Linked DNA regions of Notamacropus eugenii. The protein of the gene in region 3 interacts with the protein of the main gene of each other region in a pairwise test. Links are inferred from orthologs where the notes say so. Each region holds a gene or a part of one and is shown on either strand. Other genes may lie near its edges. The genes, in order: CEP57, TNNT1 and TFIP11.

Region 1 (5,095 bases), on a different chromosome or scaffold from region 3:
TGGAAAATTGGACAATGCTCTTAACGTCCCTAAATATCTCCCTGAAACAAAGGGCCACTAAAAAAAAAAAATCAATATTCTTCTTGTAATGCTATGTAGCTGTGAATCAGAGCATAACACCCATGTTGGAGGTCAACCAAAGGGCCATGGAGACACATAATGTATAAAGGCAACAGTTGTATTATTGTTGAAGAACTGCATACCAAGAGTCCTTAAAAATATCAGAGATGATACAACCAGAAAAGGAGATAGGGCTGGTTGAAGTGATTCTCTGATGTCTATACAATGTCAAAAGAATTCAAGGAAAGCCCTCAGCATGAGTGTGGATCCCCTCTGTGGAGGCTTAACAGGAGGACAAGAAAGACACAAGGTGAGAAGGCCCGAGTGGCCACAATCTGCACTTCTGAAGGTAATATAAACATTAGTGAGCTCAAAGACCCACTACATTATTTTCTACAAAATCCTGTAGCATTGGGTACATAGTAGGAACTCAGTTATTCATTTACTTCTTCAACAAATGTTTAATCACAGAGCTCTGTCCTGGGCCCTCTTATGTTCTCCATGTTATTTTATTGGTTTTCTCTTTAGCTCCCACAAATTTAATTATCACCTCTATGGTGATGTTCTTGTATCTACTTCTTCAGCCCTAACCTCTCTACTGGTTTCCAGCCTCACACCTCCAACATCTCAGAACTATATTCCCATAAACATGAAAATGCAATAGGTCTAAATATGAACTCATTATCTTTCCCCCTAAATCTTTTCCTCTTCCTAATAGTTATCATTCTTGACTTCTCACTCTCTCTCATTCTCCATAGCCAATCTGTTGCAAAGACCTGTTGATTTTACCTCTCTCATTTATTTTTTGTTTATTTATTGTTTCTTTCTCTTCTCTGATAATGGCACCACTCTGGTGCAGGCCCTCATCACTAAGGCTTATTTGTTATATGGGCTGCTGGTTGGTTTTTCCCCTTAAAACAAACAGATGAAGTGAGATGAAACTGAGTTCATTCTGTACTCAATTGCCAAAGTGATCTTCTGTGTTCCAGTGATACTGGCTTCTCTGCTATTTCTCACACAAGACACAAAATCTTCTGATTCCAAGCATTTTCACTTAGTGTTCCCAATGCCCAGAATTCTCTTAAGTTTCAGCCAAAAATCTCACCTTCTACAGGAAGTCTTTCCCAATCCCCCTTAATTCTAGTGCCTTCCCTCTTTGATTATCTCCAATTTATCCTGCATATTTGCATGCTGTCTCTCTCATCAAATTACAAGCTCCTTGAGAGTTGGGAATGTATTTTGCTTTTGGTGGCACAGTAGATAAGAGTACTGAGCCTGGAATGAGGAAACTGAATCAAATCTGGCCTCTGACACTACCTGTGTGACCCCTGGAAAGTTACTTAACCTGTTTGCCTTAAGTTTATCTGTAAAATGGGAATAATAGCACCTGGGCAAATGAGATAATTGTAAAATGCTTAGTCACAGCATCTGGCATATGGTAAGTGTTATATAAATGTTGTTATTATTATCCCCAACACTTAGCACAATGGCTGGAACACAGCAGATGCTAAATAAATTGTTTACTGACTGTATAAAACATGATGGGAGATAAAAAGCATACTAGACATGGTCCCCTTACTTCCACAACTCTGCAATTTGGTAGGGGAGGTAAAACATAGCTACATATGCCAGTCATATAGCTATAGAAGGATGGAGGCTAATCAGGAAAGGCTTTATTAAAGTGGAAATTTCAACTGGGACTAGAAGAAGAATTAGGATTTTAGTGGAAAAAAGAGGAAGGGCATGAGCAAAAGTGGGAAGCCACAGGAGTTTATTGAGGAGATAGATGTGATCAGACTTGCATTTTAGGAAAAAGACTTTGGTGATTAAAAGGAGAATGGAATGAAGTGGGGAGAGACTTGCGGCAGGCAGATCCACCAGCAGCTATTACAACAATCCAGCAATGAGGAGGTAAGGGCCAGCACCAGAGCAGCGGTAGTGTCAGAGGAGAGAAGTGGGCATATTTGAGAGAATCTGAAAAGGTCAAATGACAATGGTTTCCAACCTTCGTTAGAAGATCTCTAGTGAGAGTACCCAAGTAGCCCACTCCATTTTTGGATGTTAACTGTAAATGTTTTTTCTTAAATTAAACCTAATCTGGCCTATTTACCCACTGTTTTTTGTCAAGCTGAATGACCCTTCTTATGACAACTATCTATATATCTCACAGGATCACAGAACAGGGGCTTCAGAGGCCAAGACCTCCATTTGACAGATGAGGAAACAGACCCCGAGACTTTTAGCCATTTGCCCAGTGTCACACAAACAGCGAATAAATGGCAGAGCCAGGATTCCACCTCGGCTCCTCTAATTCCAAATCCTCTTTCCACTGCACTACCCAACCTAATTCTTCTCTTTTCCATTCAACTACGGTCCTTCTAAGTACTGTGCAAAACTGAACCCACATATGATCTGACCATTTTAACGACCCTCATTACGTATGCTATTAACGAGACTATTAGGTTCCTTAATTTTCTTACTCACTATGACACACTTCACTCAACTTGAGTTCGGAGTCCACTAAAAGCCCCAAATCTTTCCAGACACGCCTCCCCCTTCCTGCATGTGGAAACATATTTTTAAAAGTCCGAGCGTAAGATTCTACACTCGTCCCTACGGAGCATCTGCTCAGTTACATTCTGCCACCCGGAGCAGCATTCGGGCCGGCCCGGGCTGGGGAAGCCAGGCGGACCCGGGGGCGCGCTCACGGTAGCACGCAGCAGCCCCGGCGGTCCCCACGGGGCCCAGCGCTCAGCGTGAACAGCTGGGCCGAGGGAAGGACCCGGCCGGCCCAGGGGGCAGAGATCACTTCACCTCCGGGGGCCAGGTCAACCCAGGGAGCCTAGAAGCGAGAGATGCTACGGAAGGGTCGGGGAGAGGGAAGGAAAGAGCTGGGGAAACTCGGGGAGCGGAGGAGGCCCCCCAGGGACCCGACAGGACCCAGGCAGGAGGCGTCGGGGCCACAATGGGCCCAGGGGCGTCCCTGGCCCCGTTCGAACGCAAACAGTTCCTTACCGCGCATCCAGAATAGCCAGCCGACGCCGCCATCTTCCCGCCTGCCAGCAGGCTCCTCCTACGGGGAAGGCTGCCCGAGTTCACCAGCCCCGCCCCAAGGCTCGTGCCCCGCCCCCACGGGGAGATCCGCCCCCCAGCAATCAGAGCCCGGGCCACCACCGAGCCAGCGGCGGGCTGAGGGGGAAGGGGTAGGGGTACAGAGATGAGTTAGGCAGGCGGAGATTTACCCCACCCTCCCCCCTCGCGCGCGCGCGCGCCTTACGCACATCGAAAGGACAACAAACCTGGATAGGCGTCACAAATAACCAATCAAAGAAGAGGACACCGTCCGGGAGCGGTGGGGGGAAGAACCCGCCCTTTCCCCAAGATGACGCCACAAGGTGTCGGATTGAGAGCGAAGAGGGCCAATAACAAAACAGGATAATTCCAAAGGCGACGCAAGGAAGGGGCAGGGCTGGGTTACGGGGGCCATGGGGCCAAAGGAAACTTCTCCGGGTATTGTTTTGGTTCGGTGTCTTAAAATGGCCATCCAAAATCGATAAGCCGAGCTGACGTAAAAGGCCTCGGATGTACAAAACATTCCTATTGCTCAAATTCGAAGATGAGTCTGACCGTGGTTTGGGGGTAGGTTTTACCGGGCGGTGCTTACCGAAGTACGACCAATGATGAGACAGTATAGAAGGCGCTCAAAGTACTCGGTCCAATCGAAGTCAAGAAAGAAGAGTCAGAAGAGCAGGAGGGAAAAGTCTTTGGTGGGCATTTGCCCAATTGGAGCGCAGAGTCCTCCCCCCGAACACCGGATTGGCCACTAGCAAGCACAACGACGCAGGCCTCTAGGCCGGGGAAAGGTTTTGAAGCAAGTTTCGCGCGCGGACGGCAACGAGCTGCTATTGGTTGGTGACCTTCTTCCTTTGTAGGGGCTCTCGGCGTATCGGGGTGAGGGTAGGGGAGTGGCGCCTGAGTGACGTAAAGGCTGCGACAGCCAATCCGAAAGAGTACAGAGAGAAGGAGAAGGAAGCGGATCTGTCGCCTCGCAGCTAATCTAATCCTCGACTCTCCGTTTAGTCTCCCTCCGCCACCGCGGTCTGGGCCTAAGAGGGAGCGGCCGGGAACCGTTGCGGGGTCGGGAGGGCTGGTGGCGAAGCAAGGCGGAGGGAGACGGCTGTGGCGTTGGTATTTACTCCGCGGCGCTGGCAGTGCTGTAGCTGGGTCCTAGCGCGGAGTCGTTGTGGCCACGGGGCGGGGGTTGAGGGGGGAAGCATCGGGAGGAGCGCGCGGCCGGGCCCGGGTGCCTAGGCTGCCCCGGAGGGCCCCGCGTTGCAGCAGGCGGCAGAGGAAGAGGAGAAGGAGGAGGATGGCGGCCTCGGCCTTGTACGCCTGCACAAAGTGTACCCAACGCTATCCCTTCGAGGAGCTCTCCCAGGGGCAGCAGCTCTGCAAGGTCCGTGTGCGCCGGGCGGGGTCTGGTCGGACGTGGCCCTGGGAGGGGGCTGGGTGTCCCGCGCTCCGCCTCCTTACCCCAGTCGCCGGCGCCTCGGGGGTTGGAGGAGTCCGGGACTTTTCTGTCTGCGCGAGGCGGGGCGTGAAGGGAGCCCCCCACCCACCCACCCCCGCCAGGTGGCCTGGGCTCAGGGCGGAGATCTCGGGGTGGGGCCGACCCCCGAGGCTGCCAGCCACCTGTCTCACGCAGGAGGTATTTTTGTCGCTGTCTCTGCCCTTTCAGCTCTCCCCTTCCGGGATGTAGAGATCACTTTTAAATCTCTCTCTCGAGGGCACTGAATGGTGACCTCTCCGTCACAGAAAAGCAGAGCGACTTGCTGGCCATGGCACAGAGTATTGGTCTCATTCGGATCTTCTCAGATCCGATGAGAAGCAAGTGTGAGCATTTGTAAGCAGCGTCGCAGAACAGTAAAAAGCATTTTCACATAGACTCCACCAGATTACCATCGTATTTAACCCTACCAGCGACGTAGAGAAATTTAATAAACACAAAGAGACCTATCTTTCCCATAAGGAATTA
Region 2 (5,095 bases), on a different chromosome or scaffold from region 3:
CCCAGCTTTGCCTCTTCCTTCCTGGGGAGCCTTTGGCATGTGCTACATGTGGTAGCCAGTAATCTGTAAGGGCCTTTTCAGCTCTGTCAGTCAACAGTTTTATTTAGGCCCCATCAAAGCCATGATGAACTCAGTTACTGAGGAGATCAGGGATTCCAGGGACCTGGCCAGGCCAGCCCAGAGCCAGATAGATCAGGGTCATGGGGGGCATGGCTTTGGGCTAAGGACTGTCCTGGATTTGATCTGCCTGCCTCCCTCATGCCAGGACACCCTCCTCACCCCACCCACACACCTGTCATCTCCATTTAGGACCTGATGTCACTAAAGGGAAATTTTGATGGGAGACAAAGCAGAGGGAGAGGGGAGGAGGAGACAATGACAGAAACAAACAAAAATGCCAGAGACAGTGAGAGAAATGGAGACACAGAGATACACAGGAGAAGGTGGAGACAATAAAAAACCAGAGAGAGAGGGAGAGAGAGGAAAAAAGGGTAAATTCATGGTCTGTGATTGAAGGATATAGGTTGAAAGAACTAGGAATGTTTAGCCTGGGGAGGAAAAGACTGGGGTGCCAGGGGAGAAAGAGCTTCCTTCACTTCTTTGAATGGCTATCTTGGGGAGTGGGCAGAACTAGGCACAGAACTAGACTTGCATTAGGCTTGATGTCAGGAAAAAGTCAATTGCAATGATCCAAGGTGAAATGGGTTTCCTCCTTGGCTTCAAGTAGAGACTGACAATGAATTGTTGAGTTTAAAGGAGATGAGTGGTCATTTGTCAGGTATGTGTGTTGGCCATGGAAGGCTCATTCAAAGTCTGTAAGACAAGGAATTTAGAGACCACAGAAAAGAGAAGGAAACAGACTGAAAGAAAGGAGATGGAGAGGAAGAGAGACATAGAGGCAGAAGGAGAGAGAGAAACAGATGGTGGGAGAGAGGATAGAAAATGATGGAGCAGCCAAGAAACGTTTTTAAGCACTTACTTTGTACTAGACCTGGTGCTTTATCAATGGGGATAAAAAGGGCAAAACATGGTGTCTTCTCCCAGGAGCTCACAGTCTCATGGATGAGACCACAGGCAAACTAGTAGCAACATACAAGTGATATCCAGTATCAGTGGAGGGTAACCTTGGAGCTGGAGGGGGGAGGCACCAGCAGCTGGGGAGGAGCCATGAAGGCTTCCTGCACAAGGTAGGATTGGAGTGGACTCTTGAAGGAAGCCAGGGAGACTAGGAGGTGGAGATGAGGAGAGACAGCATTCCAGGCATGGGGCACAACTGGGGCAAAGGCATGGACTTGGGGAATCAAATGTCCTATCCAAGGAATAATAGGAAGGTGTTTCTTTGGATCATATAGTTTGTGGAGGGGAGTAAAATGTAAGAAGATTGGAAAAGTGTGTGTGTGTGTGTGTGTGTGTGTGTGGTGTGTGGGGGAGAGAGAGACAAAGGCTGTGATTGGCTTTAACAGTCAAGCAGGATTATCTTATATTTGAGCCTGAAGGTAATAGGGTGCCACTGGAGGAGAAAGGAGACAGAGACAGAGACAGAGAGTGAGAGAGTGAGAGAGAGAGAGAGAGAGAGAGAGAGTCAAATCTGCATTTTAGAAAATTTACTTTGTTAGCTGAGGAGAGGATGGATTGGAGTGGGGAAAGACAAGACCAGGAAATGGTCCTGTGGGGTTGTGTGACTGGAAAAAAGGAAACCAAGAAAGGAGAGAATGAGAGAGAGAGAGGAAGGAGAGAAAGAAGGAAGAAAAGAAGAAACTGGGATCTATAGAGACACAAAGAGACTGAGAAACCTAAAGAAAGAAATATAAAGGAAAAAAGGAAATGAGTTTGAAAAGAATAGAAGAGGGGCAAATCCTCCTCTCCCCCTCCTCCCCATCACGTGTCAGGATTGGAAAGACACACAGCAAAAAGACAGACAAGAGAGGTCCAGGCAGAAGACAGACAGGAGAGACAGAAATGGAGCAAGGGTGACACCCAAGTTGAAAGGAGGAGGAGCCCACAATTGGCCCTGCCTCAGAGACCCCGGAATATCTTTGGAGGCTCTCCCCCCTCCCTCAGGCTGGGGCTATAAAGCACTTGCTTCTCTGTCCCTGACTCACAGCAATTGTTCCAGCCTCAATCAAACCCTTGTGGTTTACTGAAGCCTCAGCACCAGTCCCAGGTAATGAAGCCCACTCCCCCCCAATTTCTGACCCCCTTCCCCAAGCCAGCCCCTGGGAGATCTATGCAGATAGAAAGAAAGGGAGACCCAGAGAGGGAGACACACAAAGGTTGGGAAAGACAGAGACATTGCAGCAGGGCAAATATCTGCTCAATAAAAGGGAAAGGTCTTAATAATTAGAGCTGTCCCAAAGTGAAAAGGATTGTCTGGGACGAGTGAGCTCCTTTTGGTGGATGATCTTCAGGCTGAATAATCCATTGTTAGTAATATCCCAGATGGTTCTTTATTCTTGTTTAGGCATAGGTTGGAGTAACTGATCTCTGAGGTCTTTTCCAATTTTGAGATTCTGTGGGTGGGAGACAGAATAGAGAAAGGCAGAGAGAGATAAGGAGAGAGTGGGGGGAGGAACTTGAATAAGAGAGACAGATACAGAGACGGACAGACTGACAGACAGAGTCAGAGAGACGGAGATAGAAAGAAACAGAGAGAGGCAGATAGGCAAGCACAGTGAAAGAGACAGAGATAGACAGCCATAGACAGATGCAGACAGCCATAAACAGTGACAGATACAGACGTAAACAGTGAGAGACAGGTAATCAGATGAGACACAATTTACAGTAAGGGTTGGGATTTGTGTATGTATTGAAAGGAAATCTATTGACCTTCCCATTTCAAGAGTAATGGGTGAGGGCAAAGGGATGGAGTGGAGGGAAAAGACTGGTTGCCAGGAACCTTCTTTTCCAGTACTATTGACTTGACTATGACCTTGGAAAATTCCATTCCTTCTCCAGGAATCAGTTTCTCTATCTGTAAAACCTGAGTAGGGAAGCCAAAATTCACTCAGCTCCTAAGATTTTGAGACTGGGGTGGGTTGGTGGTTTTTCTGACAGCATAGGCTTAAGGTCAGGGGTTTGGTGAGGGGAGGCAAGGGCAGTTCTGAGTCAGGGCCTGTGGGCAGCTCTATCCTTTTTGGGACATATCTCTGGCCTTGGCCCTGGCCCGAGACCCCCAGAAATAGCTTCTGACAGGCTAGGAGGGAACTGGGGGTGGCTATTGTCTGTCCCAAGAATGCCCAGAGATAATCTCCCCGATCAGGTTCCTTCCCATCCCCCAGTGCCCTGAGACCAAAAGACAGGTGGTGGGGATGGTGGGGGAGGGGCCCTAATGCTGCCACCCCCACCCCACTCCATCAGTTCAGTGGCCCCAGAGATCCCCAGCTCCCATCCCTCAGGGACACAAACATTCTGGTCCTTCTATCTTCTCTCTCCTTACTCTCTCCAGGTTACTCCAACAATGTCGGACACAGAGGAGCAGGAGTATGAGGAGTAAGTGTGTGTGGCGGGGCAGCTGGTAGAGAGTAAGAGGATGGGGAAAGCGTCTCCCTTGATGTCTGCATCTAATTTGTTCCTCTCTTTTGTCCCAATCTGCAGGGAACAGCAGGAAGGTGAGTCTTTGGGGTCTGGAGGGGAGGGCAGATCAGAATCCCTGGGTCTTGAGGGTGTGCCCACTGGGGCTTGGACACCTGGGTCCAAGGATCTGCTATTTTCCTGAACTCAAGAATAGCAATGAAGGCACCCGAGGTGCCCAGAGGACTTAAGATCAGGGTAGAGGGTCTTAAGACCCGAGAGAAGGAGGCCCGTTAACTCTTTCAGCACCATGACGCTGTCCCCTCCCTCCCCCACAACACTTTTTCTTTTTCTCTATCCTGTCTGCCCCCTGCCCTCAGAAGAGGCTGAGGCCGCCGAGGAGGAGGAGGAAGGTAAGCCCAAAGGGGCGGGGAAGAGGGATGCTTGGGTGTCTGAATGAGGGGTGATGGCTGTAACTTGGATTCTTATTGCTGGGTGAACCCCAAAGGCCGAAAGGCTCTTGGAGATCCTTGAGTCCCAAGGATGCCCAGTTTACAGCTGGGGGTTGGGTGGTGGCAGCAAGGATTCCTCAGCCCAGAGAAGGCCAAGGGGCTGCCAAGGTCACACAGTGGGTGGGACTTCTACCCCTGGCACCGAATTCTCCCCGTTAACAGCCTCTCCTCTCTCTCCTTCCCCTTGCACCGCTGGCGGGGCCATTCCCCTCCCCCAATTCCTCGCTTCTCCCTCTCCCCCTACCCCAGCCCCTGAGGAGTCGGAGCCGGTCGCAGAGCGAGGTATGGTGGTCGCTTCGCTTCCGTCTCCGGGAACCGGGGCGGGGGGAATATCCCATCCAGACCGCGGCCCCTTTAAGCGCCCCTTAGGCGCGCATTAAACAATAACCATGTCCCCCCCCTTAAAGGGGCCGCACCCACTCCTCTTTTTCCCACACCTGTCCTCTTCTTCCCTCGATATACATTCAAAGGTTTGGGGTCGGGTGGGAGGGGACTTGGGTCCCTCAGAAAGCTAGAGGCTGGGAGATCCTGGATGCCTGAAGTGCTGAGGATGGGTGGAGACTGGGAGACTCGCTGAGGGAGTGGGAGAAGGAGTCGCTGGGGTCTAGGACCAATGAGTTCTTGAGGAATGGGTTGCTGAGTGACAGGATATCTGGGTCTCCCAGCCAGAAGGGACTGGGAGACAGGAAACATGGTTCTCTGAGGGGTGGGGAACCCCCCCCCCAACAAGTTGTGAATGTATATGGTCGCTGTGTGATCCCAGCTCTGCACCCCCCTCCCCTTTTACCCTCCTCCCTGAGGGCAAGAGGAATCGGTACCCAGAAACCTGGAACCTTCCCAATCCTTCTGGGGCTTAAGATCAAAGCAGGCATTAGTCTCTCCACCAGTTTCCCCTCTCTAATTATCTTTCTCTGTCTTCAACTCCCTCCTTACAGAAGAGGAGCGACCCAAACCCAGGTGAGCGAATTTCCTAAGGGTGAATGGCAGAATGCTTGAGCAGAGAGACTCCCCAAACCATGAAAATGATCAAGGATGGAAAGGAAGGATCTTTGTGATTAATTCTCTCCCATTTC
Region 3 (5,095 bases):
AAAAGATTTGGCTCCACCTACAAATCCTTTCTGGCTAGGTTTAAAATTGCCACCCTGATGAGAGAATAAAGAACATAAGAAAATTGAAAGGTCTAGCAGTGACTGAACATTCAGAGAAGTTCTGCTTGAACCAAAAATTTATTTGCAATATATAATGGAGAATTAGGGAGAAATGTAGTTGGATTCCTTAAAACTCCACAAACTGTAAGGGACCTCATAGGAATAAAACCTGGTGCATCTTTATCCCAACCTCCTCTGCCCTCCAGGTTTGATGATGAGCACCTAGATAACCTGGAAGCCTGAGCTGAGGGGCTCTTAGCTCGAAGTTGTGTTATGTGCATGCGCCCTCTGAGAGTGTGCGAACCTTCCCAACTCTCAGGCAAAACCTTACTGTTTTTAACTTCTTTGGTCCAAAATCTTTAGGAAAGTCTTCCTGCTTAACAGGCTTTTCCTCTTCATCTGAATCCTCCTCATCTGCTTCCTCGGCAGCTTTCTTCAGTCCAGCACTAATGAAATTCACGGGCGCAGAAAAGTCTCGGGAGCTGTAAACACCAACACACCACAAAGGAGGAGATTGTAAAGACAGCTCTCAGAGAAGCCTCTTCAGCTGACAGGTGCCACTGCTATCATAGATGAGGAAAAGTTGTGCAGGAAATGTACCAACACAGTGCTACAAGGGATTCACTTTAAAAGATCATTAACTGATATGAATCCAAGGATATGAACCCAAGGACTGTCAAATGTAACTCAGACATCTGCAGTCTGGAAAATAGACATCTGAAGCACAACGAGCACAGCTCAAGTTCAAAAAACTCTAAGTCTCTGCCCCAGATGCAAATGCAAGCCTCACAAATTATAATTTTAGTTAAAAGAATCAAAGATCCAAAGGATTTGTGTTCATTTAATCTTCTTTACTAAACATTCCACTTTACCAAGTCATTCCACTGGCTACTGTTACACTCAAAAAAACCAAAACACAACATATATTTAAATGGCCATGGCAGCAAGAGTAGTCAAATGAAAAGAATCTTCTGGAACAAAACCACTGACAAAGAAAGCAGAGCCATATCTAACAAGTCATATGGGGAAATGATTATGCCAATAATATATATTATGTGGAAAATGCTAGAAAACGGCATGTCCATGAAATCAATAACATGATAACTCAAGGGTTTAAGAAATTAATGCATTAAAAATATGATAGTGATTTTAAAATAGTCTACTTCAGGGATACTTTAGAAGATGTCATTTCTGACTCACTGCCAGGAGAATCCTTAGCCCTCTGGAAGTCATTCTCCAAACCCTCACCTTGTTACCATTTATAACTAATTACACACATCGGTGAGAAAGTCAATTAATACTTTCTCCCCTTCCTCAAATTACACTTCTCTATCTGTATGTACTTGTTGCATGCGCCCACAGAACTTATGTTCCCTAATGGAAGGAACTACCTCCCCTGCCACTTTTCTTGGCATCTCCAGCACCTCACACAATTCCTTGAATAGCTGGTCCTTAATAGAAGCTGAATGAATGAATGAATGCTGCTCAGGATCTGTAAGATGATGGTATTTAGTCTGGGTCTCTACGGACCCTTCTAGTTTAAATGGTCTATATACCTACTGATAGATTCATAATCTATGGTTACAGGACTGAGTACACACCAAGTCTTTACCGCAACATGAACATGCTCTTTTCAGCAGAGCCCAATGACCAATGATGATAATGTATACATTAGGGAATGATGACCTGCCCAGAGCTGAAAGGCTGTCCTCAAGTGGTACAACACATTCTCTCCTGAAGGAAAAACTGAATGCCCAGAGGTGACAGAAGTACACGTGGCTACATCTAATTCCCTCCTGGCTGCACCCAGAAGCAGCCAGCCCTGTCCGGTGAATCCCACTACCGTTTGCCTCCAAAGCTGGGTCGCTCATCTTCAAGGTCGCGCTCGGCCCACACTCCATATGTGGCCTCCTCTTTGGTTTGCCAATGACGCTGACGGTTCGGATTGAATTCATTCTGGAGGTCCCAGTCCGTGATCTCAAAGTTCTCCATCTCATCTTCTTCTTCATCAATGGCTCCTTCGCCCTCTCGGTAGAGATGAGACAGCGACATGGTGGCAACTCTGGTGGAGAAAGGGAGACAGGGATGAAAAGGGCAAGATCTCACTACAAACCTCCAGCCCGAATCCTGTCTACCGGGCCAACAACAAATGACCATCTGGCTGCCTGTGAAGAAAGATCCTGATAAAAAAACTATTGATCTCCTACTGCCAGACAGTTCTCATTAGTAGGAAGTGCTTTCTATGTCCAGCTGAAGCCTGCCTTCTCATACCTCCCGTTCACTGGAAATAGCTGTGCCCTCAAAGGCCAAAAGAGAAATAAAATTTAAGTCTGATGTCTCTTCCCCTGTAAGAGAAGGTAAAATATTTGGAGATACCAACCACGCTCCCTTTCCACCCGGATAATCAAATACTTCAGTCTTGCCCAACCTTAGGACCTCAATAAACCGGAGGCCCGTTAGTGAGCTCGCTGTTCTGAAAAGTTACTAACACCGGCCACAAACGAAGCAGGAGGCACTTGGGGAGCCCCATCCAGGGACGAGGCTCCCCGAAGAGCTGGGGGACGGCGGGTACAGCGGGGAAAGCGCCGGAGTTAGGGGGAAGGAACACGCCTCGTTCTGCGAAGGGGACACCGAGGAATAAAGCGCGGACCCCGGCCCGGCTCGGCGGGGACGGTGATCGGGCCACTCCAGGAAGGCCCCCGGGAAGCCGGGCTAAGGAGCCGGGGAGCGCTGCCCTCGCCCGCTGCTCGTGCGGCTACGGAGGGTCTAATGAAGCGGGGAGGCCTCCGCCTCCGGCAGCCTCCGCTCCCGGGCTCGTCCTCCGTAACGGGCAGGAGGCCCGGCCGGCTGGGTGACCCTGGCCGAGTCCCTCGCCGACCGCCTCGGCACCGCCGCGAGCGTTCTAAGGGGTCTCCCGGCTCTGACACCCGCGCCGGGCGCCTCCAAGGCGCCTTCATCCAGGACCCCGGCCGGATGACCCGGGGCCGGGTGGGGGGTCGGGCCTGCGGCCTTCGGCTGCTCCGACACCCCCGTTCTGGGCTCCCTCCCAGCTCTGACGGGCCGGCCGCGGGGTCCCGAGGGCACAGCGCCGGCGATGCCCCCCCCAGGGCCCCTTCCTTCCCTCTCCGGGCGGGGTTTGGGGTCGCCCTCACCTCTCGGGGACCCGGGTCGGGCCTCGGAGCGTCCTCGCCGCGCTGTCACCGCCGCCGGCGCCTCCCGAGCCGCCTCTCACCTCGAGCAGCGCCTAGGGGTCCGCGCGAGCCCGCCGGCGGCCAAACGAAGCCGAGCCTGGCGCGCCGGAAGTGACGCAAGAAGCCCGCCCTCACGCGGAAGCGGAGGGGGGGGTTGTCTTGGGGATGAGCGACGCCGGTCCTAGAGCGGCCTCGTCTCTATGGCTTTGGAGGTCCTCCCGTGGGAAACCACGCCTGCGGATGGGAGGGGGAGGAGCAGATCAGCCTCCTCTTCACCCTCCCCCTCCCCGTTTCTCCTCTTCCTTCCTCTCGTCCCCTCCCCCGCCTTCTTCTTCTTTTTTTTTTTTGCATTTTAAAAAATCCCACCCCCAGAGCAGAGAACAGTCTATGGACCCGAGGGACGCCTTGCATCTTCACTTCACACGATGGCTTTTTTCCACACTTTGTCACAAAACTTCGCTTCGCTTTCAAACTATCCGGCTTGTCCGGCTTCCTCCTGAGCTGTGTCTGCTCTGGGCGGCTTTTAAATGTTACAGTGGTCTACACTGGGGAGGGGGGACCGCCATTGTTAACTCCCATGCCCCCCCACAGTCAGAGACAGAGACAGACGGACAGACAGACAGAGAGACAGAGAAAGAGAGAAAGACAGACAGAGAGAGAGACAGAGAGAGAGAGACAGAGACAGAGAGAGAAGGAAAGGAGACAGACAGACACGGAGAGACAGAGAAAGACAGAGAGACAGACACAGACACGGAGAGAAAGATAGAGAGACAGAGACAGAGACAGACAGACAGAGACAAAGACAGAGAAAGACAGAGACAGAGAGAAAGAGACAGAAAGACAGACACAGAGAGAGAAAGATAGAGACAGAGAGAGAAGGAAAGAGAGACAGACAGACACGGAGAGACAGAGAAAGACAGAGAGACAGAGACAGAGACCCCTGTAAGAAGTAGGCACAGTGAGACAAGAAGCATTAATTTTGCACCTACTGTGTGCAGTACTGTACGTACTAAGCCCAGGATTTACACGTATAACAGTAACTCAATCATGACTACCAGAAGATCAGCTGTATTACATTTCACCTGCTTTGCCCAGGGTTCTATAATACCCTTAAAAGGGTTTGGGGAGGGGTCTAAATCCCTCTGCCTTTGGTGTCAGCCTCCATAAATGATGTTCCCTCAATTTTAGGGGTCCCCTGTGCCTCAGTTCCATTTTATCACTTAATGGAGGGAATAACTTTTAAAAAGGAATATTTACTTTAAAGGTATAATAAGAATAAATACACAAACTTTCCCACCTCAGCCCCAACACCTGAGGGGCATACTCACCTCTCACCCCCCTCACCTACACACACGTGCACACACACACACACACACACACACACACACACACACACACACACACACACACACACACCCTCTCTCAGCTATGGAGAGATGAAGGTGATAAGGATTGGAAAGGGAGGGGATGGATTCTGAGACATCCTGCCAAAAAGCAGGATGAGCACAGGGGCAGGTCATCTGGAATGAATTCATGGACTCAAGCATTTTTGAAGTCAAGGTGGTAAAAATTTATGGTTACGCTTTTCAGCAGACAGGAGTTCTTAAGGCACCTGCGATTTGAAAAGGGTACAGGTAAAATTTATTTAGGATATTTCATAGTATAACATGTGCCAAATATGCTAACTAGGTGATTGGGGGGATTAGGAAGTGGTCAGTACTTAAAGGAACATGCATTTTTAGAAGCTGCTGAGCAGGTATTTTTACCCAGAGTTCACTGGGAAATAGCCTAAGGAGGGGCTACATGGAAGTGTGTTTTTAGGCCTGAGACATCACTAATGGTCT

The links.
Region 1: the proteins of TFIP11 (region 3) and CEP57 interact in binary tests that used the Homo sapiens proteins (3 or more experiments, as listed by UniProt). The two-hybrid records come from large-scale screens. The link is inferred for Notamacropus eugenii from reciprocal best matches to the Homo sapiens genes TFIP11 and CEP57.
Region 2: the proteins of TFIP11 (region 3) and TNNT1 interact in binary tests that used the Homo sapiens proteins (3 or more experiments, as listed by UniProt). The two-hybrid records come from large-scale screens. The link is inferred for Notamacropus eugenii from reciprocal best matches to the Homo sapiens genes TFIP11 and TNNT1.

The regions. Positions count from the first base shown.
Region 1 is NC_092876.1:162,363,149-162,368,243, forward strand, and holds the start of CEP57 (centrosomal protein of 57 kDa), read right to left. Parts: upstream 3,362-5,095; 5' UTR 3,109-3,361; coding exon 3,076-3,108; intron 1-3,075. Other genes in the region: protein FAM76B, read left to right, coding at 4,430-4,516. UniProt on the Homo sapiens protein: Centrosomal protein which may be required for microtubule attachment to centrosomes. May act by forming ring-like structures around microtubules. Mediates nuclear translocation and mitogenic activity of the internalized growth factor FGF2, but that of FGF1.
Region 2 is NC_092876.1:17,797,025-17,802,119, reverse strand, and holds the start of TNNT1 (troponin T, slow skeletal muscle), read left to right. Parts: upstream 1-1,738; 5' UTR 1,739-2,164; intron 2,165-3,445; 5' UTR 3,446-3,457; coding exon 3,458-3,489; intron 3,490-3,594; coding exon 3,595-3,608; intron 3,609-3,890; coding exon 3,891-3,923; intron 3,924-4,271; coding exon 4,272-4,304; intron 4,305-4,957; coding exon 4,958-4,979; intron 4,980-5,095. UniProt on the Homo sapiens protein: Troponin T is the tropomyosin-binding subunit of troponin, the thin filament regulatory complex which confers calcium-sensitivity to striated muscle actomyosin ATPase activity.
Region 3 is NC_092875.1:19,811,092-19,816,186, reverse strand, and holds the start of TFIP11 (tuftelin-interacting protein 11), read right to left. Parts: upstream 3,358-5,095; 5' UTR 3,213-3,357; intron 2,123-3,212; 5' UTR 2,113-2,122; coding exon 1,904-2,112; intron 543-1,903; coding exon 392-542; intron 55-391; coding exon 1-54. UniProt on the Homo sapiens protein: Involved in pre-mRNA splicing, specifically in spliceosome disassembly during late-stage splicing events. Intron turnover seems to proceed through reactions in two lariat-intron associated complexes termed Intron Large (IL) and Intron Small (IS).